Rhinolophus ferrumequinum: one gene and its partners. The protein of the gene in region 4 binds, or shares a complex with, the protein of the main gene of each other region. Links are inferred from orthologs where the notes say so. Each region holds a gene or a part of one and is shown on either strand. Other genes may lie near its edges. The genes, in order: GTF2E2, GTF2F1, POLR2F and ERCC2.

The links.
Region 1: ERCC2 (region 4) and GTF2E2 share a complex: the UniProt entries of both Homo sapiens proteins name them as parts of the TBP-based Pol II pre-initiation complex. The link is inferred for Rhinolophus ferrumequinum from reciprocal best matches to the Homo sapiens genes ERCC2 and GTF2E2.
Region 2: ERCC2 (region 4) and GTF2F1 share a complex: the UniProt entries of both Homo sapiens proteins name them as parts of the TBP-based Pol II pre-initiation complex. The link is inferred for Rhinolophus ferrumequinum from reciprocal best matches to the Homo sapiens genes ERCC2 and GTF2F1.
Region 3: ERCC2 (region 4) and POLR2F share a complex: the UniProt entries of both Homo sapiens proteins name them as parts of the TBP-based Pol II pre-initiation complex. The link is inferred for Rhinolophus ferrumequinum from reciprocal best matches to the Homo sapiens genes ERCC2 and POLR2F.

Annotation. Positions count from the first base shown.
Region 1 is NC_046287.1:67,078,560-67,085,596, forward strand, and holds the start of GTF2E2 (transcription initiation factor IIE subunit beta), read left to right. Parts: upstream 1-4,030; 5' UTR 4,031-4,296; intron 4,297-7,037. UniProt on the Homo sapiens protein: Recruits TFIIH to the initiation complex and stimulates the RNA polymerase II C-terminal domain kinase and DNA-dependent ATPase activities of TFIIH. Both TFIIH and TFIIE are required for promoter clearance by RNA polymerase.
Region 2 is NC_046301.1:57,927,448-57,934,492, forward strand, and holds the start of GTF2F1 (general transcription factor IIF subunit 1), read left to right. Parts: upstream 1-4,035; 5' UTR 4,036-4,230; exon of another isoform or gene 4,231-4,309; 5' UTR 4,310-4,467; coding exon 4,468-4,479; intron 4,480-4,560; coding exon 4,561-4,607; intron 4,608-5,102; exon of another isoform or gene 5,103-5,191; coding exon 5,192-5,264; intron 5,265-7,045. Other genes in the region: adenylate kinase isoenzyme 1, read right to left, coding at 1,529-1,642, 2,266-2,465, 3,625-3,796. UniProt on the Homo sapiens protein: TFIIF is a general transcription initiation factor that binds to RNA polymerase II and helps to recruit it to the initiation complex in collaboration with TFIIB. It promotes transcription elongation.
Region 3 is NC_046293.1:9,028,097-9,035,226, reverse strand, and holds the start of POLR2F (DNA-directed RNA polymerases I, II, and III subunit RPABC2), read left to right. Parts: upstream 1-4,118; 5' UTR 4,119-4,222; coding exon 4,223-4,242; intron 4,243-5,747; coding exon 5,748-5,817; intron 5,818-7,130. Other genes in the region: C10H22orf23 (UPF0193 protein EVG1), read right to left, coding at 2,540-2,602, 3,394-3,496. UniProt on the Homo sapiens protein: DNA-dependent RNA polymerase catalyzes the transcription of DNA into RNA using the four ribonucleoside triphosphates as substrates.
Region 4 is NC_046298.1:41,745,416-41,752,570, reverse strand, and holds the start of ERCC2 (general transcription and DNA repair factor IIH helicase subunit XPD), read left to right. Parts: upstream 1-4,135; 5' UTR 4,136-4,170; coding exon 4,171-4,175; intron 4,176-4,263; exon of another isoform or gene 4,264-4,397; intron 4,398-4,487; coding exon 4,488-4,587; intron 4,588-5,566; coding exon 5,567-5,644; intron 5,645-5,718; coding exon 5,719-5,781; intron 5,782-5,949; coding exon 5,950-6,063; intron 6,064-7,155. UniProt on the Homo sapiens protein: ATP-dependent 5'-3' DNA helicase. Component of the general transcription and DNA repair factor IIH (TFIIH) core complex, not absolutely essential for minimal transcription in vitro.

The DNA of each region.
Region 1 (7,037 bases), on a different chromosome or scaffold from region 4:
GGGGCAGGTGCAAAGTTTAGGACATGTTGAGTTTGTGGCCCCACTAGGGATCTGGAAGTTTAAAAGCTGGAGTTTAGGAGAAAAGGTCTTGGCATTTGTTTAAAAATTTACTGTTCTTTTGTTAAGATACTACTATATAAGTCCAAATTCTAACTATCCCTCTGAGTTATCCATAACTGGGTACTCTCATGTCTAGGTGCAGTGCACATGCTAATAACTTGTTTTTCTCAAAAAGAATTCTTTCCTCCCTTATGGGATGAATGCTAGAGAGGAAGCAGGGTCCTAGGGAGATTGTTTCAGGAGGGGCAGGCTGCATTAGAAAGTAGGGGGAAAGACTCCAAAGGAGGAAACACTATCAATGCTAGAGAAATCCAGGACAGGTGATGAGCAAAGTACTTATTTTAGCTCTTGGTTTGTGTGGATGTGGGCTAATTGCTTTGTCAGCTGTTTTGAGAATTTACATATCTAGTTCGTTGAGATGGATTGTGAGGTGAGGAGAGTTGAAAGGCAGTTATTACTTGATGGCAGAATGAAGTAAATTTATTTACTTTATCTCAGTTTTCCTCTTCCAAACAATTATGTAATGTAAAAAAATTAAAATATAAAATTAAGCCACTACATAAAAAAGAAAAGTTCTGATACACGCTACAACATGGATGAACCTTCAAAACATTGCAAGTGAAATAAGCCAGACACAAAAAGACAAATATCGTATTATTCCACTTAAATAAAATATTTAGAAGTAGGGCAAAGTCGTAGAGATAGAAAGTAGATTAGAAGTTACAGGAGGCTGTGGGGAGGAAGGAATGGGGAATTATTGCTTAATGGTTACAGAGTTTCTGTTTGGGATGATGAAAAATTTTGGGAATAGGGATGATGGTTACATAATATTAATCTAATGCCACCAAGTTGTACACTTTAAAATGGTTGAAATGATAAATTGTATCTTATTATGTTATATAGATTTTACCACAAATAAAATAGTAGAAAAATATCCACTGTATTGGAATTAATCCTGTGGTTATACTGAGTTGTGTATTTTGGGTGGGAGGGTTTGGATTGGTCATGAGAGAAGAATGTTTTATAAAATATAGAAAACATATTTCCCTCAAAAAGCCACCACGCTTTCTACTAAAAAGTATGCAGGGCATTATAAGCATTCATGAGATGAGACATAATTGCTATTGCATTAGTAGCTTGAATCATTCTTCATATAATTTGACACTAGCCACACCCTTCTGACCTGAAATACTAAAGATGCCAATATGTAGGTGGTTAAATTATAATAAAGGTTTGTTTAAGCATCAGTGGTGGAGACTGTGTATATCATACAAGTAGCCGTATCCCTATAAAGAGTTATGTCTCACAGCTTAAGGTGGGATATTTATCCAATGCCTTCCCTAAGCTCTGGCTAGAGGCTGCCCAGGTGGTGTCTACAAGGTATGATCAAACAATACAGTGAATGTTTAAATTAAAAAAAATGATCACAGTAAAAGACACATTGCCATTAATCCCCCTCAAATAACTCCCACTCGCTTTGAACACATCCCATCATTCTCGCCACTTTCTGAAGCAGTCCTGGAAGTCCTCTTTAATGAGTGTCATTAGTTGCACTGTCATGGCTGCCTCGATGTCCAGAATTGATACAAAACATTTACCTTTCATGGTCATTTTGACTTTGGGGAAGAGCCAGAAGTCGCACGGTGCCAGATCCAGTGAATAAGGTGGATGAGGATACACTGTAAAGTTTTTATTTGACAGAAATGACTGTACCAGAAGCGATGTGTGACACAGAGCCTTTTTGTTGTGATCATAAAATATAGTGAATGCTGCTGCCGAGTGCCATCCAACGGAAAGGCAGGGATCTTCAATATGAGAAGTGGCAAGTAAAACCTTAGTAACAGTGTGCGACAAGTTTCGACTTGTTTGGTGCAGTCAGGTGTGTGAGCTATGGTTGAGAGAAGGTGTGTTTTAAAGTGTGCCCTAAATCATCCTTCACCATGACAATGCTGTGTGTCACACATCACTTCTGATATACGGCAATTTCTGAATAAAAACATTACGGTGTGTCGCCATCTACCTTATTCACCAGATCTGGCACCGTGGGACTTCTGGCTCTTCCCCAAAGTCAAAATGATTCCGGACATCAAAGCAGCCACGACAGTGCAACTAAAGACACGAAAGAGGACTTCAAGAACTGCTTCAGAAAGTGGCAAGAACGATGAGACAAAGTGTGTTTGAAGCGATATGGAATATTTTGAGGAGGATTAATGGCAATGTATCTTTTACTGTAATAATTTAAACATTCACTGTATTGTTTGATCACACCTCGTATATTAGGTCTCTTACTCATTGTAAAGTAACCAGAAGAATGATAGAATCGTTTCCACAAGGATATGAAAAACTGGAATTTATATAATCACTAGGTAAAGAAACAATGAAATAAAAATTAATAAATTCATATAATACTGGCTCATGTTTCTCAGCACAATGCAATTTTAACCTTTGGGATTAATTTTTGTACTTGATGTCTGCTCCTTCTCACCATTACACCTCATCAGTTTTTTTACCAGTTCATATCTGGCTTTACTGGGTTGTAAAACCTCTGGGCCCTACTAAATTGTTACTCAAAGTTACATTTCCTGACGGTATTACATGAACATCAAGTGAGTTTATTACAAAATCCTCTAGAATGAAACAATTTTTAAGTCGCACAATCTCTTTTGGCTTTATTTCCAAGTTTTGAATAAAAATTTATGTGTCATCTCATTTAATCTTTGTAACAGTCTAATGCAAGTAACCCATTGTAGTACAGTTATTCCTTGATGAGAAAACCAACACAGGTTAAGTAACCTGAGTAACTAGTACTAAGTAATTAAAAGACAGCTACAGAATAGCTGAGCACAGGCTATACTGCTGCTTTGGGTTATAAAAGTGAGGGAAGGACATCGCAGAAATCTGACACTCCAATACATTGTAGACTGGGCAAGGCCCATTACCGTATTTTGCCATGTATAATGAGCACCCACGGTTTTGGCCCAAACTTTCAGGGAAAACTCATTATAATTTTTTTAATTCAAAATTTTATTAGTTTACATTTAGGTACTTGTTTTTCGTATTATAAAGGAATTTCAGCATTTATTTTTTTAACATGGTACAAGAAATTTTGTGGAATAATTACAAAACAGAAGAACAGATACAAGCAATAAGAAATTTTATGTACCGGTACAAACTAATATTTACCCATCATAGAAGGCCAAGAACTCTATCCTTGCAAGTTGTCATAAGTTCAACAAAACCGATTATCGTATTCCAGGGTACTATTTTGCATGCGGATGTGGTTATTGATTTCTAGAATTACACCTTTAACTCATAAGCATAAATAAATGAACGTTGATATAAATATGGAATTAGTACTACCCATGTATAACGCGCATCCTTATTTTTCCTTCAAATTTGAGCCAAAAGTGCGCATTATACAAGGCAATATACGGTACCGCTCGTTGCTTTATTCCTACCCCTTTCTGTTGCTTCTGAATCCGAAATCGTTTTCTAAGACTATTCACAGGTGTTGCGGTTTGGAGTTCAGAAACTGGGCTTCACGTCAGGATTTGCCTTTGCTAGTTGTGCTGTTTTGAGCAAGTCATTGAGTCGTTTCCCTGGGCCTCTTGTTTCCTCATTTGTAATAGAGCTAGAAGAATGTTCTCGGAAGTTAAAATTGTGGTAAAGTCACAAAATACCTAGTAGACAATAACTTGAAAAATTGCGTCGCCCTGTGGGTTAAAGAGATTCCCGAGCACGCTGGAGGAGGCTCTCGTAGCTTTAAATTTCCGCAAAGGAAAGATTTCCATCTTAGCTGCTGCTAACAGCCTCCCACCTACTAAGTCCCGTTCTCCACCCCGCCCCCAGCCCTGCTCCCGTTGTTATGGAGATCCGGAACGCCCTAGCTGGCTGCCGTTCCTCCCGCGGTACCCCTAACTGGGGGCGTGATGACGCACGCGCGTTCTAGGCTGTGAAGATGCCCCGTTGGCTGCCGGGACTGAGCTCTTAGCTAGTTCAGGAAGCGGCGGGCGGGGCACCCGGCCGAGTCGTCAGTGGTGCGGCCGCAGCCGCCGCTGCTACCGCCAGTGCGGAGATCCGGAGCTGGCGGGGCGGCGCTGGGCGTGCGTGCGGGCAGACGGGGGCGCTGAGTAGGAGCAGAAAGCGGCGGCCAGCGGGCGTCAGCGGCTGGCGGAGGCGGAGGCGGAGGCGCAGGGAGGCGGCGGCGGGTCGCGTGGGGCGGCCCACCTCGCTCAGGTAGGGGCTGCGGCCGCCGGGTGAGGGGCGCGGAGCTCCGGCCTGTTGTTCCTCGGGGGAGACCGCCTCCTCCCGAGGGGCGAGAGTGTCTTCCACCCCTCGGGAGGCTGGGTGCCGTTTACTACGCGGAATACAGTAACAACTTGTTGGGAGCATTGTCTTTTAGGCCGGAGGTTTTTTCAGCAAACTTTTGGGTTGTAAAGGGAAATTCGCAGTCGGGTGGCTGCTGGTGCCTCTTCGTAGCCCCCAAGTTTACCTTGGCAGTGGCCGAGCGAACCATGTGTGTGGAGTTTGGGGACCCACCGATGTCCAGCCGACTAAAAGGCTGTGATTTAGAGGCTCGTTCACGGACTATTTTTTAAAGCTGCCTTGTGGCGACCTGGTTTGTAATGATTCCTAAACTTTAGTTATAATTGTTTTCTGTAAAGTCCAAAGACGTTTTCCAAAACAAAACGCTGTGGCACATTTTTCTCCCACCTTTGCATTCTGTCACTTAAGATGTAAGCAGTCTCTTTTCTTACCTTGCCGGCTGTTCGCCAGTGGCACCTCTGAGGCTTAGTTAGGGACAGAAGCAAAAGAAAGTAGAAGGGTTGAAAGAAGTACCGTAGGATGAGACGGTGGGAAGAACGTGGGCTTTGGAGCCGGAAGACTGTGGCTTAATTTTTGCTTCTCAGTGTCCATCCGTGACACGTGGGCACATGAACTCCCTGAGTTGTGATGTTTGTTTAATGTACAAGGGCAGGGTGATGTGTCCTGTCTACCACACTAGTCAGTGCATGTAAAACTACAAATACTGAGTACGGTCGCCTTCTAACAATAGGAAGGGAAAGTTAGGCGGAACATGCGATGGTGAAAGGTAGACATGAAGCCGCCTGCTCTGGGTGCCGTTGAACATTACCCCTACCTGTCCTGGGTTTTAGACGCCTTGACCAGCATGGAGTAGGAAGATCTCTAAACCAAAGTACCTGGACCAGGATCCAAATATCCTGACTCCTAAATCAAGTACGTGTTCCTTACTCCACACCTGAAATGCTGGAAAAGGCCTTCAAGCTTTAAAAGGCTCTGGAAAATAAATCCTTGCCTTCAAGCAGCTTACATTTGAGAACATGAAAGCATCCAGCACTTCCTTTAAAAGCAATGAATAAATAAAACGTGACCTCGAGTGTTTTAGAGTTAGGATATTTGGTCCAAGTACTTCTTGCTGTGTGACCCTAATCATACCTCTTCACTTCAGATTTCACATATTAAAATAGAAATAAAACAGATAACCTATTTTCTACTGGAGATGTGAGGATCAAATGCTGTAAGCATTTAGATCTTTGTAAACTGGAAGGCTTTTATTTATGTGTTATGTTAAAATCATGATTAAAAGCCTGGGTTAATTACCTTGTCTTTACAAGGTGAAATAAACAGGTGTTTCCTGTTTTGGGCTAGTCGCCCCCCACCGTATCACTTGTGAATTCTCTTGTCCCTCGCTGCCCCTCTCCCCAAGACTGTCTCCTATCTTCCTTACCCCAGTATAATCATTCTGTTCATTTCTTTTCAGATCCAATAAAATAGTAATACTGAAATAACATTTGTATAGTTTTACTATTTGAAAAATCGCTTTCTCGTTTTATTCTTACAATTGGGCTAGATGTAGACAGCGTTGGTAGTATCCTCATTTGACTTACAATAAAACTGAGTTTATGAATCGCCCAGGGTCATGTTACTGTTGGGGATTAGAACTGAGAGGGAGAACGTCTTTGATTTGAGGTCCAGTGCCAGTGACTCTTCCTTTCTTACTTAACTGGTTTACTCTGATTATTTATTATCAGTGCTTATATTTTTAACTTTTAGCATGCTAAATCACATTCATTTTTTTAAGTGAGGTGCTCAATGCTTTCATGTTCTCAAATGTAAACTTCTTGAAAGCATGGATTTATCTTCTAGAACCTTTCAAAGCTTGGAGTACAGTGACTCACAAACAGAAGACATTTAATAAAGACTCATGAAAGCAGTAACAACGAAGTTAGAGCAATTTAAAGATGTTTCCCTGTTCATTATTCACTTAACAAATATTTATTGAACTACCCCGGTGCTTGAAGGTTTTGAAAGTGTAAGATAGTGTTTTTCCTCTGGGACCTTCCTTCCCGACTTATGAACACTGGTCTCAACAGTGCACGAATCATTTGCATAGTCAGCTTGTATGCTTCCTAGAGTCTCTCTATAGGATTCTTGAGAGGATTCAGACAAGAGAGGAATGTTTTAAAATACTTGTTGAATGATCTGTGGCTTCCCTGGTTGTATTGAAGTGTCTCACAATTTTAGAGTTTTAGAACTGAGAAAAAACATGAAGAGGTTTAGTCCCACCTCGCTCCAAATCAGGAATTTTCTGTAGATATTTCTACCAAATATTAATCCAGCCTCTTCATCACATAATGTTGGAGAGTTCACCAGTTTTAAGATACACCTTTCATTTATAAGCAATTCTGATGGTTCTGTCTCTCTCTTTTTTTTTTTTTTTGCAATGAGCCTAAATCTGCCTCCTAATTTCTACCCAGTAGTTCTGATGTTTCTAAGCAGCATTGTAGAGATACAATGTGAGCTGCAGGTGTGAGCCACATGTGTAATTTAAAATTTTCTACTGGCCATAGTGTTTTAAAAAGTTAAAAAGGGGAAATTAGTTGTATTTAATCCAGTATATCCAAAATATTATCACATTAACATGTAATCAATCTAAAATATCTCGTTATTAATTT
Region 2 (7,045 bases), on a different chromosome or scaffold from region 4:
CCCTGTGTTGCCAAGTCAGGCAATTTTTAAATTTTTTTTTTTTTATTGGGGAATATTGGGGAACAGTGTTTCTTCAGGGCCCATCAGCTCCAAGTCGCGGTCCCTCAATCTAGTCTTTGTCTTTCAATCCAGTTGTGGAGGGTGTAGCTCGGCTCCAAGTCCAGTCCCCATTTTCAGTCTTTAGTTGCAGGGGGTGCAGCCCACCATCCCATGTAGGAATTGAACCGGTAACCTTGCTGTTGAGAGCTCACACTCTAACCAACTGAGCCATCCGGCCGCCCCAGGCAATTATCAAGAGAAGTTGGGAGTTTTGATGTGGCATCTCCCGAGTTTTGAAAGTGGGCCACTCATTTAAAATTAAAAAAAAGGGTCAAACACTCTAGAGACAAAACTGAACACATTGGTGGATCGAATAGGGCCTGAGGGCTGGGAGTTTGTAGCCTCCGTTCTGAGACTTTGTGGCCATTTGTGGCGTCCATTCAGCTGGCATTTATGACTGGGTGCTTACTTTAGGGCAGGCACTGGCCCAGGGCTGGCGAGGGCAGAGGAGTCCACTAGCCCAGCCTTTCCCCTCAGAGCTCCCAGGCCGGGAGAGGGAGCCCATCACTTACCCTTTGACTTCGTCACAATGAGCCCCACAGAAATGCTTCAATGGAGGTGCGAACAAAGGGCAGGGCCCCACCCAACAGGGGACAGCTGTCCCAAGCTGGGTGACCTTTGTTTGATTCCCACCTGGTCTTTTTTGCTAGATTCTTCTTCTGGAATCTAGCAAGTTCCAGAAAAACCTGGAGGCCTACAGCCTGCCTCAATTTCTCTTTTCCTGCTCAGCCATTTTCAAATGCTCCAGTCCTTGCTGTTCAGGTGCCCGGATGCGCCTTTTCATAAAGTCAGCGTGGCTGACCTGTAAAAATAACCTGAAGAAATTCATTCCAACTTGTCCAGCACCGGCTGGCTCCTCCCTCATCTCTCAGCTAGCTCTCCAATATCCCCCCTTCAAGGGGCCATCTGAACCACCCAAACTGAAGTAGTGTCCCTCCAGGGTGTCATTCTGTCTTCTGTTCTTCACTACACTTATCGCTAGGAGAAATTTCTGTTTAGTTTTACACATGATGTATCTCTCTGTTTTTTGGCATCCTAAGAGCAAGGACCAAGCCTATCTCACGAATGCCCGAGTTCAGAGTCTGTCTTCATGGACTATTTGGGGAATAAATAGATGGACGAAGAATTATATTCCATTTTTATGGCCCAGAGATGCTGCTAAACACCCGTGCTACTCAGTGGGCAGGCACTGTGCAGGGAAATACTAAAATGACTTTGTCTTTGCCCTCAGAGAACTCTCTAGCTCTTCACCTGGGTTCTAGAAGCTTCCAACAACCTGACTCTTCCTTGATAATACAAAACTCCATTTCCCTCTGTTCATCTCCTCTCCCCTGAGTCTCAGCCCTTCTGATCTCCATCGTAGGAAGGGAGGGGGGAACAGCTCCACGCCTTACACCCTAACACCCTCACACAGTTTTGGGTCACTCACAATGCGCTCGAATTCCTTAGCTTGAATCAGCTCCCGAGGGAAGCCATCGATGAGGAAGCCCCGGCTCTCTGGGCAGGACAGCATTTTGTCATTGATCATATCTAGGATGATACCCTGGGAAGGAAAGGGGTGATGGGTCATTGTCCATAGGCCCTCACCTATGAGGTCACCTTGGCAAGTTGTCTTTCTCAGTCTGGACCTCTGATGAATTTGGGAAACACCTGCCCACCACCCAAGATTCCGAGTCTGCCCAATGCCCTGGGGCCTCCACAAGCTCTTACAAGAAGTAGGTACAGCGGCTGTCTACTGGACAGGCATCTACTGTGTGCCAGGCTGGCTGGGCCTCATTTGCTCATCACAGTCACCTTACAGGTAGGTACTGGAGTGACCTTATTCTGTGGGTGAGGAAATAGGTACAGAGGAGCCAATGATATATGTGCCCAGGGTCACAAAGGGAAAAAATACTAGCTAATTTTATTGAGTGCTTCATAAGTACCAGGAACTCTGCCAAGTGTTTTATAGGAATGATGTCATCCAAAGCTCACCACAGACTCTTGCTGTGGGTCTAGCTGCTCTCCCATTTTACAGATGGGGACACAGAGGTTCAGGGCAGCCAAACAGTGGCAAGGAGGGGAGCCACAGCCTTCCAGGCCCATCAGCTTCCACAGGGCCTTTCCGGGAAGTTCGTCCCCACGTAGCCCCTTCTTCCCTCCACCCCTGCACCCATGAGCTCTCACCGTGGGCACCAGGAGCCCCCGTAGCATGATTTCACGAATCTTCTGGCCCCGCCGGGTACCGCGTTGGGCCTCCTGCCGCAGCAGCTGGCCCAGCCCCACATGGCAGAAGCCATACTTTGTCGCCATGTTCTTGCACTGCGTGCCTTTGCCACAGCCTGGCCCACCCATCACAAAGATGATCAGGGGGGACTTGAGCATCTCTGCGGTGACCAGGGAAGAAAGAGGGAGACGCATTGGTGCCGGTAGGGGTCAGTGGGCACTGATGCGATTGTGTCCACAGCTTAGTGCATATACTGGACACAGTCCTGCTGGCATACCCACTTTTGCCTTAGGGTGGCATCTGAGAGTGTGTCCTGGCCCATTGGTGTATCCAGGCATGGCATGCGTTAGTGCTGCTGTGGGTTCAGTGGATGGTGTAAACCTGAGCAGGCTAGGCCCTTGTACACAGCATCTCCTGGAGGTGTCACAATGACTCTAACATCCCAATTTACAGTTCAAGAAACTGAGGCTCAGACAGGGGCAGGTCCATCCCCCAGACGCATTCCATACCACCCTCCCCTTCCTTCACTCCGGTCCAGCCCCCAGTGGTGGCCTGGACTCCTTTCTGTCCCTTGAACTTGCCAAGCTCATTCCCCCCTCAACTTTTCCCTAACTTCTAGGAAATCCCTGCCCCAGTGCCTTCAGGTTGCAGCTCACCCATCATCATCCCCTGTGTCAGAACCCAATTTCCTCCACAGCAAAGGCCACGATCAGTAATGACTTTGTGTACTTTTTCTTCTTTGTCTCCCTGCCAGACTGTACTCCATGAGGACAAGGACTATTTCTGTCTCACTTGTGCCTATATTTCTATATTTCTAGTAATTTACAGTTCCTGACATATAGTAGAGGGTGAGGACTAAGTGAGTGTCCACGACTACCGGCCATGTCTACGGGGTGCTGTAGTTTATGGTGGAATTTTGGTGTCTTGCTTCCCTCCACCTTTGCTTAGCCAACTTGTATGCATCCTGCTGGGCCCAGCTTAAATTTCCCCTCTTCCTTGAGCCCTTAGAGCCAGCTGTGCTTTTCCTGTAGTATTTCCTGAATTGTAGACACCGTTTTCTGAGATCGTCTCCTGCACTATACTGTAATCTCCAAGGGGACAGGGAGCTGGTTTGGCACAGTCACTATGGAGTGCCCAGAATCCAGCACAGCAACCGCTCAAGTCGATTAATGAATGGCTGATCTGTGAGCATGCGCAGTTGTATTACTACTATGGGGGGGCCACACCTGGACAAGTGGGATGGGGTACTTGTACCTTCCTCTTGCCCTCCACAGCCTCCTTCCCTTTCCCCCAGTAAGCCAGCCATCCCGCGATATTACCCTTCTCCTTGGGTCTCAGGGGCCTGCCCGTTTTGGGCAGCTTGGACTTGAACAGACCCATCCTGCCAACGACCCGTGGGGTGGTCGCGCCCCATCCCCGCTCAGGCCCTGATCTCTCCTGGCTCGGCTCAACGTCACAAGGGCACCTGTCCCAACCATTTAGCAAGATCATGGGGTGTCCGCGGAGCAGGGGGAGCAAATGAACCCCAAAAAGGTTCAGATGGAGTCGCGGCGTCTCAACGCGTCAGAGAAGGCCTCGGTTGCTATGGTGACGCGGCCTCCTTGGACTCACTTCCGGAGTGGAGCAGCGCAAGCGCAAGGCGCCGAGAGCCCGCGAGGGTGGATAGGTTTTCTCCGCTCCCAGGATGCCCCGCTGCCCTTGCGTGACGATCTCACGGGGAGGGCGTGCCCATATGTCATGATTAGATTAGCCGTCCTGTGTAAAGCGGTCATCCGGTGTGCGCGCGCTGGGGGCACTTAATTCAGACGCGGACTGCCTCGCCGCTCTGAAAGGGACCGGGAAACTAGGTGACAGCGCGTTGAAGGGCCCGGGGCAGAGGGGAAGTTGCCATCGTGACGCGGCCTGCGGGAGAGTTTCGCTTTCACGTTAGTCGGCGGCGCAGGCGCAGACGTGTTAGCAGCGGCCGCTGAGGCGGAAAGCTGACTGAGCGCCGCTTTCGGGTAGCTTTTCCCTGGATCGGTGGCACCACGGACTTGGGGTCCTCGATCCTGGCCAGTGACCCGACACCACGAGGGCAACTTCCCCCGGACAGAGGGTCGCGGACCCTAGAAGAGACGAAAAGGACCCGGATCGGATCAGACCCTAACCGCTGACCCTTGCCCATGGCGGCCTTCGTAAGTATGTGGCGGGTTTCAGGAGACCCTGCGGCGGCTTCTGCAGCCCCTCACTCGGCCTCTCGCTTTCTCTGTCCGCAGGGCCCCGGCAGCCATAATATCACTGAGTATGTCGTTCGAGTTCCCAAGTAAGTCCCAAATCCCACCTCCCACCCCCCACCCCCCAAAAAAGGGATTAAAACCTTCCCAAGCCTCTAGGCGTTCCCGGCGCTGCTTGTGATTCCACCTCCTGAGTGGCAGCGACCTGAGGGCGGGGCTGGGTTTGAGCTGAGGCCTATCTATGGCATCATTGTTTTTTGAACAGAGTGATGGAAGGAATGAATGAATTCTTAGTGCGTTAATATGCAGTAGGATGCAGCCCCTGGCCTAGTATTTCCTCTGCCAGGAATACCTTTTTCCCAGCTGACAATGCTGCTGCATTCTTGTTGATCCCAAAAATCCAGTTCCAGTATTTTCCTCCTCCAGGAAGCATTCCCTGCTTGCCCTCCCTTCTTCTCTCCAGGGCTGAGTTCCAAATTATCCCCACATCTCGGGTTCCCCTAAATCGTTGTCTCTTCTATATGGGATTGGGAGTATGGATCTGGCTCCGCTGACTGACTGGGAACCTTTGGGGTGTATTAAAGGCTCCCATCATTGCCTGGCATGAAGGGCTGAACTGGGGAGAGTTTGTTGGATGGATTGATTGAGCACTGCCTCTTCTTGCCCATTCCAGAAATACAACCAAAAAATACAACATCATGGCCTTCAATGCAGCCGATAAAGTCAACTTCGCTACTTGGAATCAAGTAAGTCCCTGTTCCAAAAGGGGTTAGAACTTGATCCTGGACTCGGTGGTTATAATAGTTGCTTAGTTGTAATAGTATCTAAGGCTTAGTTTTCTCAGCACTCCCCCAGTGCCGAAAAATGATGAATAGGGCCCGGGCTGAGCTGCTGGGCATCACTTTGAATAAGATTTGTTAGGCCCTGCAGGAGGCCTTCTGAAAGGAGAATATTTAGGGGTTGTGCCCACTGATGGGCATTTTGGGCCTAGATTTATCTGGGCAAGGGAAGGGGAGACAACCTGTAGATGAGCTCAGAGCCCCCGTTGTCAGAAGCTCTGGAAAGGGCTTTGGAAACTGTCTCAGTCCATTGGGGCTGCTCTGACAGAACACCATAGACTGGGTGGCTTATAAATAATAATAGACATTTATTACTCATAGTTCTGGAGACTGGAAGTCCAAGAGCAAGGCCCCAGCAGATTCGGTGTCTGGTGAAACCCACTTTCTGGTTGATAGACAGCAGTCTTCTCGCTCACCGTCCTCTCAGAAGGGGCGAGAGAACTCTGGGGTCTTTTTTTTTTTTTTTTAAGGACACTCATCTAATTCACCAGGTCTCCACCCTCATGACCTAGTCACCTCCCAAAGGCCCCACCCTTACATACCATCCCACTTGAGAGTTAGGTTTCAACGTATGCATTTTGTGGCGGAGACACACAAACTTTCGGTCTGCAGCAAAAACCACTAAGGGTTTGAAACAGGGTGTTGTAAAGTGATCTCTGTGGGGTTGAGGCAGATGAAGCAGGGTTGAGGCGATAGCTCTGGTCATGGTGAGCGATGATGGTCTCGAGGCAAACAAGAAGAGAAGCGATTGAATGATGGTGTGTTTTGGAAGTGGAGCCAACAGCGTTTGTTGATGGATTGGATATGGAGGGGTGAGCGCCAGGGCAGAATTATAGACATGCATTTCAAAATAATTTCTACTGCTAAATTGCCCAGAGATCGAAATTTGGAAAACCTCAGCCTTTAATGGCATCTGAATTCACGGGGCGGTCCAGAATCGAATGCAGAGAGAAGAGGGCCAGTTCCAAGCAGGTTGTTTTTCCTGACCAACCACAATGGTTTTACTTGTTGTTGTTTTTTAAACAAAATTTTTTTTTTAAAGATTTTTTTTATTGGGGAAGGGGAACAGGACTTTATTGGGGAACAGTGTGTACCTCCAGGACTTTTTCCCAAGTCAAGTTGTTGCCCTGTAAGTCTTAGCCGTGGAGGGTGCAGCTCAGCTCCAGGTCCAGTTGCCGTTGCTAGTTGCAGGGGGCGCAGCCCATCGTCCCCTGCAGGAGTCGAACCAGCAACCTTGTGGTTGAGAGGATGTACTCCAACCAACTGAGCTATTCAGGAGCTCAGCGGCAGCTCAGCTCAGCATGCCGTGTTCAATCTTAGTTGCAGGGGGTGCTGCCCACCATCCCTTGTGGGACTCGAGGAATTGAACTGGCAACCTTGTGGTTGAGAGCCCACTGGCCCATGTGGGAATCGAACCGGCAGCCTTTGGAGTTAGGAGCATGGAGCTCTAACCGCCTGAGCCACCGGGCCAGCCCCACTTGTTGTTTTTTTTAACTTACTTGGAAATAATTTCAAACTTTCAAAAGCTGCAAAAATAGACGTAGTATAAGAAAGGCTTGCCTGAATCCCTTCACTCACATTCACTGAGTGCCAACTTTCTCCCCCTGTTTGCCAAGCAGGAAGTTGGCTTGGAGTATCTGCAGCTCAGTCTGGGGGGGCGTATAGGGTGTTCTTGGGGGTGGGGACAC
Region 3 (7,130 bases), on a different chromosome or scaffold from region 4:
GCTGTCCCTGCCAGACCTGGGCTTCTCCTCCAGGCCAGCCAAGTGTGTCAGCCCCTCTCTGTCCATCACCGTAAAGCCCAGCTCCGAGCAGGCCCCACCCACTGTTTGGATCTGGCCCCTACCTTTCCTCCCTTCCCAGCCTTCTGTCACCCACCCAGCGAATACGTAATGAGCGTCCACTCGTTGCCAGGCCCAGGACACTGCGGGTAAAGTGGTAAGACAAAGTCTTGCCCTCATGGTGTCTGCATCTGGGGTGCGGATGGTGATAAAATAAGTACAATATATTAGTATGTTAGGTGGTGACCATACCAAGGTGGAGCATAGAGTGTGTCACAGCAGGATTTACCACTTAAATAGGGTAGTCAGGGAAGGCCTCACGAAGAGGGTAACATTTGAGAAAAGCCCAAAAGTGATGAGGGGCCAGCATTCCAGGCAGAGGGAAGGAGTAGCTACAGCAAAGGCCCTCACGTGGGAATGTGCCTGGCGTGTCTTGAGGAACAGCCAGGAGGCCAGGGTGCCAGGAATGGAGTGAGCAAAGGGGCACATGGTGGGAGTAGAGGTCAGAGGTCATGGGGACCAAGCAAAGTACAGGGCCTTGTAGGCCTCTGGAAAGACTGGCTTTTACTTTGTGTGAGGTCGGGAGCCATCGGAGGGTTTTGCGCAGAGGAGTGACATGATCCCTTTGGTTGCTGTTGAAAATGCCGTGTTGGGGGCCAAGGGCAGAGGCCGTCAGAGTCAGGACGTGGTTTGAACGTCAAGTGGACAGGATTGCTGATGGGTCAGCTGGGGGGTCTGGGAGGAAGAGGCGTCAAGGATGACTGAGGTGTCTGCCCTGAGGAACGGGAAGGACGGTGCTGCCGTTACTTCCCACTGACCTTTCCCTCTCCCATCCTGTACCTGGGGGTCACGCAGCTTTACGTATCTCCCTTTTCTGAAGACATGCTGTGCTTCCTAGAATGTCCCTCCTGCTCCGTCCACTCCCTATTCCTGTCTGTCCAGTGCCAAATGCTACCTCTTCCTCTGGCCCGTTTTCAGCAAATATTTATGGCCCGAGTAATTCTGGGAGTTCCGGTGAAGGAGAGGAATTTATGGCTTGCAACAGAATTTGAACGAAGGCTCAAAACAACAGTAGGATTTGGGTAAGAGAAGTAAAGAGAAGATTCTAGAAGAAAGCAGACTCAACACCAATGCTTGGAGGCAATTTAAAAAAATAAAACTTCTAAGGGGAATAACACTGCCAGGTGAACCAATTACTCATGTTGGCCTAACCACTAATGCAGTCAGTCCTTCAATAAACATTGAGCAGCTTAAAAAAAAAAAAAAAAAAAATTTTGAGCAGCTAAGTGCTGGGGCTACCGTGGTGAACAAGACAGATGGAGTCCTTGGTCTGCTAGTTTTACTTTTAGTGAAATTTCTAGCATAATCTCTTTGTGGTCATGCTACAGGGGACACCAGTTTATTAGTAGATTGCTGAGCGTGGAGACTGAGTTGTGATTCAGATATGTCACGGCACTAGGCAGCCTGAGTTGTACTTTTCCACAATAAGGAAGGACATCTGACTTCTGACCTGGCCGGATGGAGCCTCCCTCCCTCAGCCAGTGCTGAACAGGTGCCAATGTCTGACTCTCTCTTCCCTATGCTTCTGTCATTGATCAAATGCCCTCCTGATAAGCACATTCTTTCTTCAAAGACGGCAACAGCTTTCAGTAGATTCAAGTAAAACTCGGCAGGGTTGGACCTTCTGGTATTCTCTCTCTTAAAGGCAACTTTACAGGTCTGTGTTCTGCTCCATTAAATATTGATTGATTCAGTTACATCTCAGAAAGCAAAGTTGCTTTCAAGATCTTAGAGGGCCCCTGGCTATTGTGCCCACGTACTTCCACTTTTTTGTTTTCCTCAAAAATAAGTAATGTAGGGGTGGCCGGTTAGCTCAGTTGGTTAAAGTGTGATGCTAATAACACCAAGGTTGCCGGTTCGATCCCAGCATAGGCCACTGTGAGCTGTGTCCTCCTTAAAAAACAAAAAAGAAAAAAAAAAAGAAAAGAAGAAAAAAAATGTAATGTGTGGTCAGAGGTGAGCTATGGAAAGGCTCTGCATAATCTTCCTAAGTTGGAATTCTGCCAGTTTTCTTGTTTCTGCTAGCTAAGCTATGAATGAATAAAACGACAAATGAGACACATCCACAGTCCTTTCCTCTGGAGAGCTCCTATGGTATGTGTGTAACAGGGAGGGATAGATTGCAGACAGGACAGTTTTGAGACTATTTTGGCTGGACAGGAAGTCTCGCCTGGGCTGTGATCTCTTGGGAAAGGCAGCTAGAGCAGAACTGCAGGAGACTGGTTGTGGTGCCAGGACCCGTGTCTGGGGGAAGAAACAAAGGCCGCCTCAAGGTCAATCCCCCAGATGCAAGGGTCGGAAATACTACACTCTACTATTTTGGTCTTTTAAAATGATGTCCTCTACCTCTTAATATGGAGGAGCTTGAAAAACGTGGCCCAGAATCCCTCTGCCCAGGAAGCCTCTGTGGACTGCCTCTTACTTTTCATGGTGTCCATGATGTGGCGCTGTTGGAATTTAGTCAGTCTGGATTCCTCCATCATTACTGCAAGATAAAGCACTTTTGTAAAGCCTGCTGAGCCTTCATCTCACCCACTGAAATTTAAAATTGTATCACCTCCTACCCCCGTCCTGCACCTGAATACTCCCTCTCTTCCTCTTCTGTCTTATTTTTTTCTGTAGCACTCATCACCATCTAAGTTCTACACATTTTACTTATTATTACTTGTCACCCTCCTGCTAGGATATCAGCTCCATGAGAGCCAGAAGTTTTGCTGGTTTGTTTTTGTTTTTGTTTTTAATGCTGTATCCATAGCATCTAGAACAATGTCTAAAGCCCATAGTGGGCTTTTAAAATTTTTTTTGTTGTGTGAGTGAATAAATGAATGAATGACCAAGCATTAACCATGTGCCAGGGGCTGAAGCTGTAATGGTGAGCCAAAAAAGGAACAATCCCAGCCCTATTGGATTTCACTGGCTAGAGGGGTAGGTGGATACTGATCCAATGGGACATACTAAATATTTGACTACAGGTTGCGCTAATTCCAATGAAGAAAAAGGTATTTGGTCACATCGCAGTTGGTTCCACTGTGGTGGTGGGTCCTGGTGGGGGGAGATAAAGCTTCCCAGGGGAAACTGAAAGTGTGATCTAAGGGATGTACAATTGTTAACTACTCTAAAATTCTTGGTTCTTTGACTTTTGGCCACTTGCAAGTTGTAGGACCTGAATCTTTCTGTAAAATGAAAATAGCAATTGCTGAGCCACAGGTCAAAAGGGGAGACCCGAGTTACGGAGGGTAACTGCTACCACCCCTCTTTTCCTTTAAGCGCACTGACCTCTCAGGAGCTCACAGGTCCCAGGGGTATAAGTGGCCTGCTTGGGGCAGCTCCAGAACCCCGTTCCTTTGGTCACTGCCTCCATCTTCTCCTGGGAAGCCATGGCAGGGCCCTAAGGAGGGAAAACACACAATGACATACCCCCTGTCTCTACTCCTGCACCCCGCCCTTCCAACACCACCGAAGTCTGGGAGCGAGGTCCGGCTGCAGGAGAATCGTGTTGCCGCGTGTCACTATTGCGAGTGCCCTCCTCTCCCACCCGAAACAGACAGACCGACACACACACACACACACACACACACACACACACACACGAACGGAGACCTCATCTTGACCTGCTGCTTGTGGCAGGGAAGGCCTTTGGGGAGGAAGAGGGCCTTTAGATAGCTGTTGGAATTTAGTCAGGTTGGATTCTTTCATCATCACTGCAAGATAAAACCCTGCTATGAAGCCTCTAGGATGTTACCCCAAAATTGAAACCTCACCCTAAAGTAAGACGCCGGCTGGGTGCACCCCTCCTCACAGAGAGCGGTGGCTGGGCTCCGGAGCCCAAAAGCACGGCTCTACCGCGGCATCGCGCGGGGACCCGGCAGAAACACTGAGATCGCTGTGTCTAGAGCCGGCAGCGGGACGCTCTGGCTACCATGGTAACGAGCATGCATCTCGTCGCATGCGCACATTTACTCAGTCCTGCCTACCGGAAGTGATTGCTTCTGGTTCACGGCGCAGGCGCAGAGGACGCGTGTCGCGGGGCTGGTGGGAGGCACGCTGTTCGCGGATCTCCGTGCGGGTCTGGGGCGCAGAGCCGAGTCGCGGCTGCGTCGGCGTCATGTCAGACAATGAGGACAAGTGAGTGCGGGAGCCAAGTGGCCTTTGCGGAGCCTCGGAAGGGGTGGGTGAAGCGGGAGTTTGAGTCCAAGGAGGCTGACGAGCCAGGCGTGGAGGGACCGTATCCGAGGGGACTGGGGCTGCTGAAGGGGCCCGCGGAGCCGGAGAAGGGAAGGGCGCGGAACCAAGAGCGTAGCCAGGGACTGGACACAAAAGGCACAGGCTCGAGGGGGCAGAGAGGATCAGTGGAAAAGGTGTCTTTCAGAAAACTTCCACTGCGCCAGGTTCCGGGTCCTGTATTGGGAATATTGCGCTGTGTTAGACGTAGCCCTTCCTCTCCAGGTGCTCCCTTCTAGAAGAGGGGACAGATAACGTAGGATCGTGTGAGATGAGGCAGTAAAAGTACGTAGTACAGCGGGTCCTCGAATACCGTTTTCTAACGTTGATGAGATGCGGTAGGATCCCACCTGTTGCTATCAGTTAGTCGATGGTAAAATTGGTTGCGTCGTGCATCGTTTTGCTTAAAGTCGCAGAACCTATCGTGGGCATTGAATGAGGACTTACTGTGTAGAAGTACTCCAGAGGAGTGGTGCGACAGGTGGGAAAGGTCTGGGCAGGTTGCAGTCGTCTGGCGAGAGAAGGTAGTGTGTTAGTAGTAGAGGTAGTGAGAAGTGGTTTTGAATTCTGAGTTCATTTTGAAGCTGGCGCCAAAAAGATTTCCCGATGTGTGGGGTGGGAGCAGAGGTCTGTTCTGAAGATTAAAATAGGGGAGTGGTCCGCATAAGTATATTAGTCAAAACTGAGAAACAGGTGACATCATCAGGGGGTGTCAGTAGAGAAGGGGAGGTGACTGAGCGTTAGAGCGTTCCAACAGGGACTCCTTGGGGTTGGAGAAGAAGAGACACGAGCAAAGGACACTGAGAAGGAGCAGCCAGTGAGGTGGGGGAAATACCAAGAGAGGGAGGTGTCCTTGCAGTCGAGTGAGGAGGGTGTACTGAGCGAGAGTGGGCTAACGTGCCACTGAAAAGTCAAGCTAAACGAGAACAAGAAGAGTCCATTGGTTGGCAACATGGAAATCATTCACAGACTTGAAAGAAGGAGTGGTTTTGATGGAGCCGTGGAGATGGAGGTCTTCTTGGAGTGAAATTGTGACAGAACGGAAAGAGAAGAATTGGAAACAGTGATGATGGACAACTCTTCCATGATTTTTGTTCCCAAGCAGAGCATGGAAATAAGGCTCTGGGGGGAGAGAGGTTTTGTTTTTTTTTTAAGATGGGGAAAATGTTTGTGCTGATGAGAATGATGCAGCGTAGAGAGAGAAAAGAGACAGTGATGAAGAATGTGTCCTAGCCAATTTTGGGGGTTGATGGGGGTGAATTCGAAGGAGTAAAATGGAACAGAAGTTTGATTCACTCATTAAGTAGATGTTTGTGGAGCACCTCCTAACTGTTGGCTGAGACACTCTCTGCCCTTTTGGATTCCAGTAAGTGGTGCTCTGACTAATTGGCCTCTTTCTTCTTGTCCAGTTTTGACGGCGATGACTTTGATGACGTGGAAGAGGATGAAGGGCTAGATGACTTGGAGAACGCCGAGGAGGTCAGTGTGTAGTCTCAGTCTCCCTCCTGCAGCCCAGGCTGTCAAACAGGCTGCCCAGTGATCATTGCCTGAATGCATCTGCCTCCTGTTTGTGACCAAAGGCCCTGCCCCAGCCACCCCCCATTAGAGTGGGCAGAGTTCCAGTCCTGGGTAGCGCAACAGCCCCAGAGGGTGGGCCTGCAGGCTTTTGTCCACTTGGACCACAGTCCGTGGTTTCTGAGGCAGTTAGTTCACTGATGGGTGAGATGTCACATTTATTCATTCAGCGACTGTGTGTTGATTGTTTATTATGTGCCAGGTGCTCTGCAGCGTGGGGCTGCATAGGAGCAAGGGGGAGAGTGACCTTGAATAAAGCTGGCGAGGTAAGGGCCCAGATCAGGCAAGATTTTGTAGACTGTAGGTTGAAGGAAGCCACTGACAAGTTTTGAACCAGGGAGTGGCATGATGTAAAGTTGACACTTTAGAAAGAGCATGCTGACCTCAGGAGCGAAGCAGGGAGGAGCAAGTATGAGAGAGAGACATTAATTAGGGGACTGTCACAGACCGCCAGGTGGGAGACCTGCAGCTTGAACTTGTGCATTGCTAGGGCCATTGATAAGGAAACAGATGGAAGAGATATTTTGATGGATTGGATTTGGGGCTGAGAAAGTGGGAGATGACAAACATGACCGCTAGGTTTCTGGATTCAGCAACTAGATGGGTGGGTTACTAGCTTCATGAATAAAATAGGGCTTTCTGTCTTGGGTGACTGATGGAAGAAGAAGTGCTTTATGTCTCCTGGAGAGTGATCCCTCGACTTTTTTAGTCCCGTTTGGCTTAGAAGCCAAAGCCCCTCTTTTTGAATTTTCTCTCTTCAGGACACTCTCGAGTACCCGTATTCACTGTGTCAGAAACCTCTTTCTCCATCCTTCCGGTCTCCTTCCATTCCTGTCCCGTCAATTCTGGCTCCTTCATTTAGTTCAGCCCTGTTCCATTTCTTCATTCCTAGTGCACCAGCCTGGTTTAGATCTTTATTCCTTTACAACCACATTACTGCAGAAATTGTGTTCCTGGTTTTCCTGCCTTCCGTCTGCTCTGATTGTCTTTCTGCTGCCAGAGTCATCTCTCTTACCTGCCTGCATGATACCCTCGGTCTTCCTAAATGGTCTCTCTGCTTCTGCCGTTGCCCTCTACAAAATATTCTCAACAGAGTATCCAGAGTGATCCTTTCAAATCTTAAGTTAACTGATGTCTCCGATTTAGAACCCTCATCTGGTGGCTTCCCATCTCATTCAAAGGAATTGCCAAAAAGACGTACAAAGTTCTCCATGATC
Region 4 (7,155 bases):
ACTATTTATATTAAAAATTTCTGAAAATTTTCCAAATTCTACAAAAGTAGAAATTAGTGAAAAAACATCTCCCATGTATGCATCATCTTACCTAAAAATTTATCAACTCCTAAAAGATTTGGATTCTATTCCAATGGAATGAACCTGCAGCGATTCCTGAGAGGTCATCATTATATCTGTAGCACTTAACAACAAGGATATGATCTGAGAAATTTGTCGTTAGATGTCATCATGGTGCGAACATCATAGAGTGCGCTTAAACAAACCTCGATGGTGCAGCCTACCACACACCTAACTGTATGGTTAGCCTGTTGCTCCCAGGCTATAAGCCTGCACAGTATGTTACTGTACAAAACACAAGATTAAATCAAGCACCAGAGAAAATGGTGCAATTAGTAGATGCGGTAAACGAGATGTCTGAGGCTGCTGCTGGCCTAACAGCATACTATTTACAGCACGCTTTTATTTTTTTTTTTAATAAATAGGAGTACACTCTAAAATAATGATAAAAAGTATAGTATAGTAAATACATAAACCAGTAGCATAATTGTTTATTATCATTATCAAGTATTATGTACTGTACATAATTGTCCTATACAGCTGGCAGTGCAGTAGGTGTTTACACAGCATCACCACACACACCTGAGTAAGTCGTTGCTCTATGACGTTAGGAGGGCTACGATATCACTAGGCGATAGGGATTTTTCAACGATATTATAATCTTATGGGACCACCGTCGTATATGCAGTTGGTCATTGGCTGAAACACATCACATGACTATATTGGGGCATATTGTGATGTGTACTAGTTTCCTATCACTGCTGTAACAAATGACCCCAAACTTAGTGGCTTAAAACAACACACATTTATGTTTTCACACTTCTGAAGATCAGAAGTCCAACTCAGTTTCACAGCGCTGAAATCAAAGTGTTGGCAGAGCTGCACAAACTCGGGATCACTAAGGGGGGAATCTGTTTCCTTGCCTTTTCCAGCTTCCACAGCCGCATTCCTTGCATTCCTTGGCTCTGCCCCCTTGCTCTATCTTCAAAGCCTGCAGCGGAGCATCTTGCTTCAGTGTCACATTGCTTCTGTTTCTTTCTAATCTCTCTCTTATGAGGACACTTGTGATTACTGTTAAGGAGCACCTGGATATCTCAAGATCCTTAACTTCATCACACCTACAAAGACCCTTTACCACACAAAGTAACATTGACCGGTATCAGGGATCAGAGCCTGGAGATCTTTGGGGACAATTATTCAGCATACCTAGGGAGTATTGCAATTTAAAGAAGGCCTCAGAGGGGCGGCCGGTTAGCTCAGGTGGTTAGAGCGCAGTGCTCTTAACAACAAGGTTGCTGGTTTGATCCCCCCATGGGCCACTGTGGGCTGCGCCCTCCACAACTAGATTGAAATAACTACGTGACTTGGAGCTGATGGGTCCTGGAAACACACACTTAAATAAATAAAAGTTTTAAAAAAACAGAACAAAAAAAACAACAAAGAAGGCCTCAGAGAAGAAAGGACCTTTGAGAAAAGCTTGAGGGAGGAAGCCATGCAGAGATCTGTGGAAAGAACCAGAGGGAGGGGCAATTGCAAAGGTCAGGAGGAGGCAGGAGTCAGTCATTCTAAGACTTCTCCCAACCATCTTGCCTCCTGGTATTCACATCCTGGAGTAACCCCTCCCCTTGAGCATGGGCTGCATGTGATGATGTATCCCAAAGAATGAAACACAGCAAAAGTGATGGACTGTCCCCTCTGACATTAGGTTATAAAAGACAGTGACTTCCATCTTTGCATCTTTCTCTGGCTCTTCTTGCTTTGATAAAACCAGCTGCCCTCAGAGATGCCCACGTGCCAGGCACCTGAGGGTGGCTCTCAGATGACAGCCAGCAAGGAAGTAAATCCTGCCAACAATCACACGGTGAGCTTAGTGGTGGATCATTTTCTAGTTGAGCTGGGATGACTGAAGCTGCATTCAATTCCTGACTTACAGAAACGGTGAGATGATAAATGCTGTTTTTTCAACCATTACTTTTGGGGATAAGTTGTTACACAGATTAGCTGAATAAAGCAGGCCTAGTGCCAGGAAGCCAGGTGTGACTGGGAGAAATGGATAAGAAAGAAGACAGTGAGAAATGATGTCAGACAGGTGACAGGATGCTTAGGACAGTACCTGTCCAATAGTAGTATGTGTTCAATACTCAATTTCATTTTATTATATTCTTGAACACACCCTCCCTCCGTCCCTCCCCCCCACTTTAACAGAGTAACCAGGGCTCAGATGGGGGGCCCAGAGAGGGTGCCTGATCCAGCCTGGGGGCAGAGAGGGCTTCCTGGAGGAGGGGATGTTTCTTTGAGACCTAAAGGTGAGCAGTAGGAGTGAGGCAGGACAAGATAAGGGAGACTAAGCTGCAGACAAAGAGGCCACTACTGGAGGCAAGTAGAAAGCAGAAAAATAAGCAGCGAGATGGGGCAGGAATATACTGTGAGGTGTGCAAATTCCTAAACGGAAGGCATCACCATAGCTTACTCCCAACCATCCAACGTAAACGGTGTTTGCTCTTCCCAGTTTGTTTTCCGTGTCCATGGTGTTGCAAGGAGCATCTCTGTGTATGTAGCTGTTCCCACTGAGTGTTCCTTTGGTTAAGGCTCAGGGTTAAGTCGGTGACTTCATTAACTGGCTCAACATCCACCCCTACCATCACCATCCTTATGAGTTCTAGTCCCCCAGTACCTATTTTCAGAGCCTTTGTCTAACTCTGGAAGTATATTCTCATTTGTATGACTATATAATAAATGTCATTTGTTGATGTCAGTATCATCATCTCCACTTTAGAGGTGAAGGACTGAGTCTCAGAGAAAACTTGCCAAAGGCTTTACAGCTAGGTCAGGTGCTGCGTCCTGGACCTGCCTGCCCACTCTGGGTTTTCACTGTCTGGAGAAAGTCACTGGAATGTGAGACCCTAGAGGGCATGGCTGGGTCACTGCTGTGTGCTTTTAAACACCCAGTACAGAGCATGCACAGAACAGGGGTCGGGGAATATATGATGATTGAATGAATGAATGATTGAATGAATGAAAATGAGGCGATTATGAAGAAAGTGACAACCAGGGCCTAGCATAGGGTCAGGCACACTGTAGACACACCATAGCTATTTGTCGAACAAACACATAAAAGCTAACATTTTTTGAATGCTTAGTACGTGCTGAGTCCAGTTTTAACTGCTTTATGTGGGTTAGTTTAAGCGTCATCTACATTGTAGATAATCTAATTGTTCTACTTTGCAGGAGAGCAAATGGAACCCCAGAGAAGTTAAGTAATTTGATCAAGGTCACACAGCTAGTAGACAGTGGAGCCAGGATTTGGGCCCAGGCATTCTGGTTCCAGAATCCATACCTTAACCACCTAACCACAGTGCCTTTTCATTACTGCTTGATTAAAATACATCTGGCAAACAGTTGGAGCTCAATAAATAAGAGGAGTTATTTAACCCAGAGAAGTCTAGGACACAGCAGGCATTTTAAAAGTGCATGTTTGACCACAAGGTTGCCTGTTCAACTCCTGGCGGCCGGAAACGGATGGTGGGCTCCGCCCCCTGCAACTAGCAACTGGCAACTGGACCTGGAGCTGAGCTGCGCCCTCCACAACTAAGACTGAAAGGACAACAACTTGACTTGGAAAAAAAAAAAAGTCCTGGAAGTACACACTGTTCCCCAATGAAGTCCTGTTCCCCTTCCCCAATTAAAAAAAAAAAAAGAGTGCATGTTTGTCTGGTGCAGCGAAGCAATTCCTAATTAGTAAGCCCCGAAGAGGTCCCCAATTTTCCTGTTCTTTTCCCCTAGACTTTCTTCGCTACACAAATAATCTGAGCAGATGAAGAAGACCGCATCCTAATGAATGGGATCGATTCTCTCGGTTCTCTTTCTTCCATGTTTTGTTCTTGGTCTTCGGCGATCCTCAGCGACGCCTCTCCCGGCGAGCCCGCCCTCGTATTGCCGTGCGCATGCGCATTATCCTGATTGGCTCTACCCCAGTAGAGTGACGGGAGGGATCCGCCAGTGGCGTCGTGAGGAAGGTGCAGCGGCCCCTTGAGGACGCCCCACGGATCCTGCCGCACTAAATATTCATGAGGGGGCGGGTCGGTGCCGCTTCTCGCCCCGGCCATCGCCATGAAGTGAGAGGGGGGTTGGGCGTGGGGACTTGGAAGATGGGGGGACCGGTGGGCGCGCCCGGGGCCCCCGCGGGGCGAGGGGAGGCTGAAGGGATGGGGAGGGGATAGCCGCGGGGACCCACGGTACGGTAACGGGAATGGGCAGCGAGGAGATAACGAGGAGACCCAGAGGTTCCTGGGGAACGGGGGTGTATCCGGGGGGACCCGCAGGCCGGTGCCTGGCAGGTAACCTCCCTCGGCCCGGCGGCAGGGGAGTGTGGGGGTTGAAGAAGGGCTTAGGGGACCCGGGACTGACCCGACGGCCCCTGCGGCCAGGCTCAACGTGGACGGGCTGCTGGTCTACTTCCCGTACGACTACATCTACCCCGAGCAGTTCTCCTACATGCTGGAGCTCAAACGCACGCTGGACGCCAAGGTGCGTGGGCCCCGTCCGCCGTTACCCACCTGACAGGTGGGGCTTCCACGCAGGCGGCTGAGACTGAGATTGCAGGAGGTCTAGATTAGAAATTAGAGGTCCTTGGGGAGCCAGCACTCCAAAACTTCCTAGTACCTAAAATAATAATAGTTAATAAACGGAAGAAAACAAAAAGAAACAAAAATAAGTTAATAATAGCAGTAGCTGGCTTTTATCAAAGCTTGAGCTACTCTGTGGCTGGGAATATGTAGATTTTGGACTCAGCTACCTGGGTTGGGATTCTGGACCCACAGCTGTGTGCCCCCTTGGGAAAATCACTTAATCTCCCTGTTCCAAAATCGGCGTCTTAATAGTACCTAAGTCAGAGGTTAATGTGAGGGTTATATGAGTTAATTCACTAAGTAAGGTCGCAGTTGTCACCTGGGGGTGATTTTGACTCCCAGAGGACATTGGCAGTGCCTAGAGACATTCCTGGTTGGCATACTAGTGGAGTGGGGGTGCTACCTGGCATACAATGTTTTGAAGCCACAGATGCTGCTAAACATTCTGCAGTGCACAGGACAGCCCCTCCACAACCAAGTATTATTCGGCTCCAAAATATAAATAAAGCTGAATTTCACAAACCCTGATGTAAGACTCTTAGAAATACTGCCAGGCACAGAGGAAGTGTGAAGTTGTTTGTTTGCTACATTAAAAGAAAAAGGGCTCACTGTATATCAGGTACTATGCCAAATATTTAACCCCCAGTTTTTCATTAATCCTCATAATCATGCTATGAAAAAAGCTTATTAGGCCTATTTTAGAGATGAGGATACTGAGGCCAGAGAGGTGAAGGCACTTGCCTAAGACCACCCAGCAAAGAAGGGTTCAGACCCACTGCCCCTGGGGCCCAAATTTAATTGCTGTGCTGGCCTGCCATTTCAAGATGGTGGCATTCTGGAGGGAGTTGTGAGAGCCTATGTCTTATCCCAACACACAGGGCCATGGAGTCCTGGAAATGCCCTCAGGCACTGGGAAGACAGTGTCCCTGTTGGCCCTGATCATGGCGTACCAGCGGGTAAGTGACCCACTGGGCCTGTGGAAGGGGAGGAGGGAAAGGGCTGGATGGGCTGAACCCTTTGTTGTCCGCAGGCATATCCACTGGAGGTGACTAAACTCATCTACTGCTCGAGGACTGTGCCTGAGATTGAGAAGGTGAGCTAGAGCCAATGCCGGTGCTTCCTCACTCTCCCCGGACTTCGCTGGTCCCCCTGTGGTTGCCATCGCAGCTTGGGGGTGGTGTTTGGGAGGCTGGGGCCTGGTTGGGCAGGGGCTTGTGCTTTCAGTGAGGCTGAGTTCCCCCTCCCTTCTCTTCTGGCACAGGTGATTGAGGAGCTTCGAAAGTTGCTCAACTTCTATGAGAAACAGGAAGGCGAGAAGCTGTCGTTTTTGGGGCTGGCTCTGAGCTCCCGAAAGAACTTGTGTATTCATCCTGAGGTGAGTGCCCATTCCTCCCCTCACCCAAAGCCCCAGGGTTGAGAAAACTCTTACATTCAACCAGGAGTTTTAGATCTTCAGACTAGACCTCTCGGGGGATACGCAGGGGCCACGCATAGAATTCTCTCCTCACATGTAAAATTCCAACTCATCTTTTCATGGCTGAGGCGCGGATACCACTGGGGAGCCCTCCTACTTTCCCCCAGCCTGGGAGAGGTTAAAAAGGCAGTTCCTGGAGGCTGGCAGGCCTAGTTTCCTGGCTTTGTAACTTACTAGTTATGTACTCTTGGAGAGGAGATTTCTGCAGTCTTGGCCTCGGTCTTCCTTTCTGTAAAATGGGGATAAATAAGTACCTGCTTCGTACAGTTGTTGATAAGATTGGGTGAGCTAATGCATGTGTACCCTTAGCATGTACAAAGAACTAAAAGGTATTAGAAACTGCCACGATATTAATAGATCTATCACACATAGAATATTTGTTATTTTTGAATTATGTTAAAAAGCCACTGGGCTCACTGTGCACCAGGCACTGTTCTAAGCACTTGATGTGTGGTAACTCATGGAATATATATTCTATAACATTATTTGTAAGAATATATGAGAAATAATACGTATGATGGATAATAATTAAAGAGAAGTAGCATAGGCCTTGGTGACTGATGGAATGGGAAAAGGAGAAGGAAGGGACGGCAGCCTTGAGCCTTCCCTTTGGGGAAGGAGAAGGTTTTGTTCTGAGGGCAGGCAGCCCGGGGCTGTGATGATACCACCAACAGAGACTTGGAGGGGACAGAGCAGGGCAAGGGCGACCGTGGGTTCTCATACTGTGCAATCAGAACCTCCTTTTATTCTTAGACCTTGCCAGGGTCCTGGGTGGTTGAGCATCTTAAAAGTAAAGCAGTTATCCTTTATCTACAAGCTAAAGAATCTTCAAGGCTTAATGTTTTGTATTTATTGAGGTATAATTGACATACTAGTTTCAGGTGTACAACATAATAATTAGATATTTGTATACATTTCAAAATGATTACTGCAATAAGTCTAGTTAATATCTGTCACCTTACATAGTTATACATTTTTTTCTTGTGATGCAAA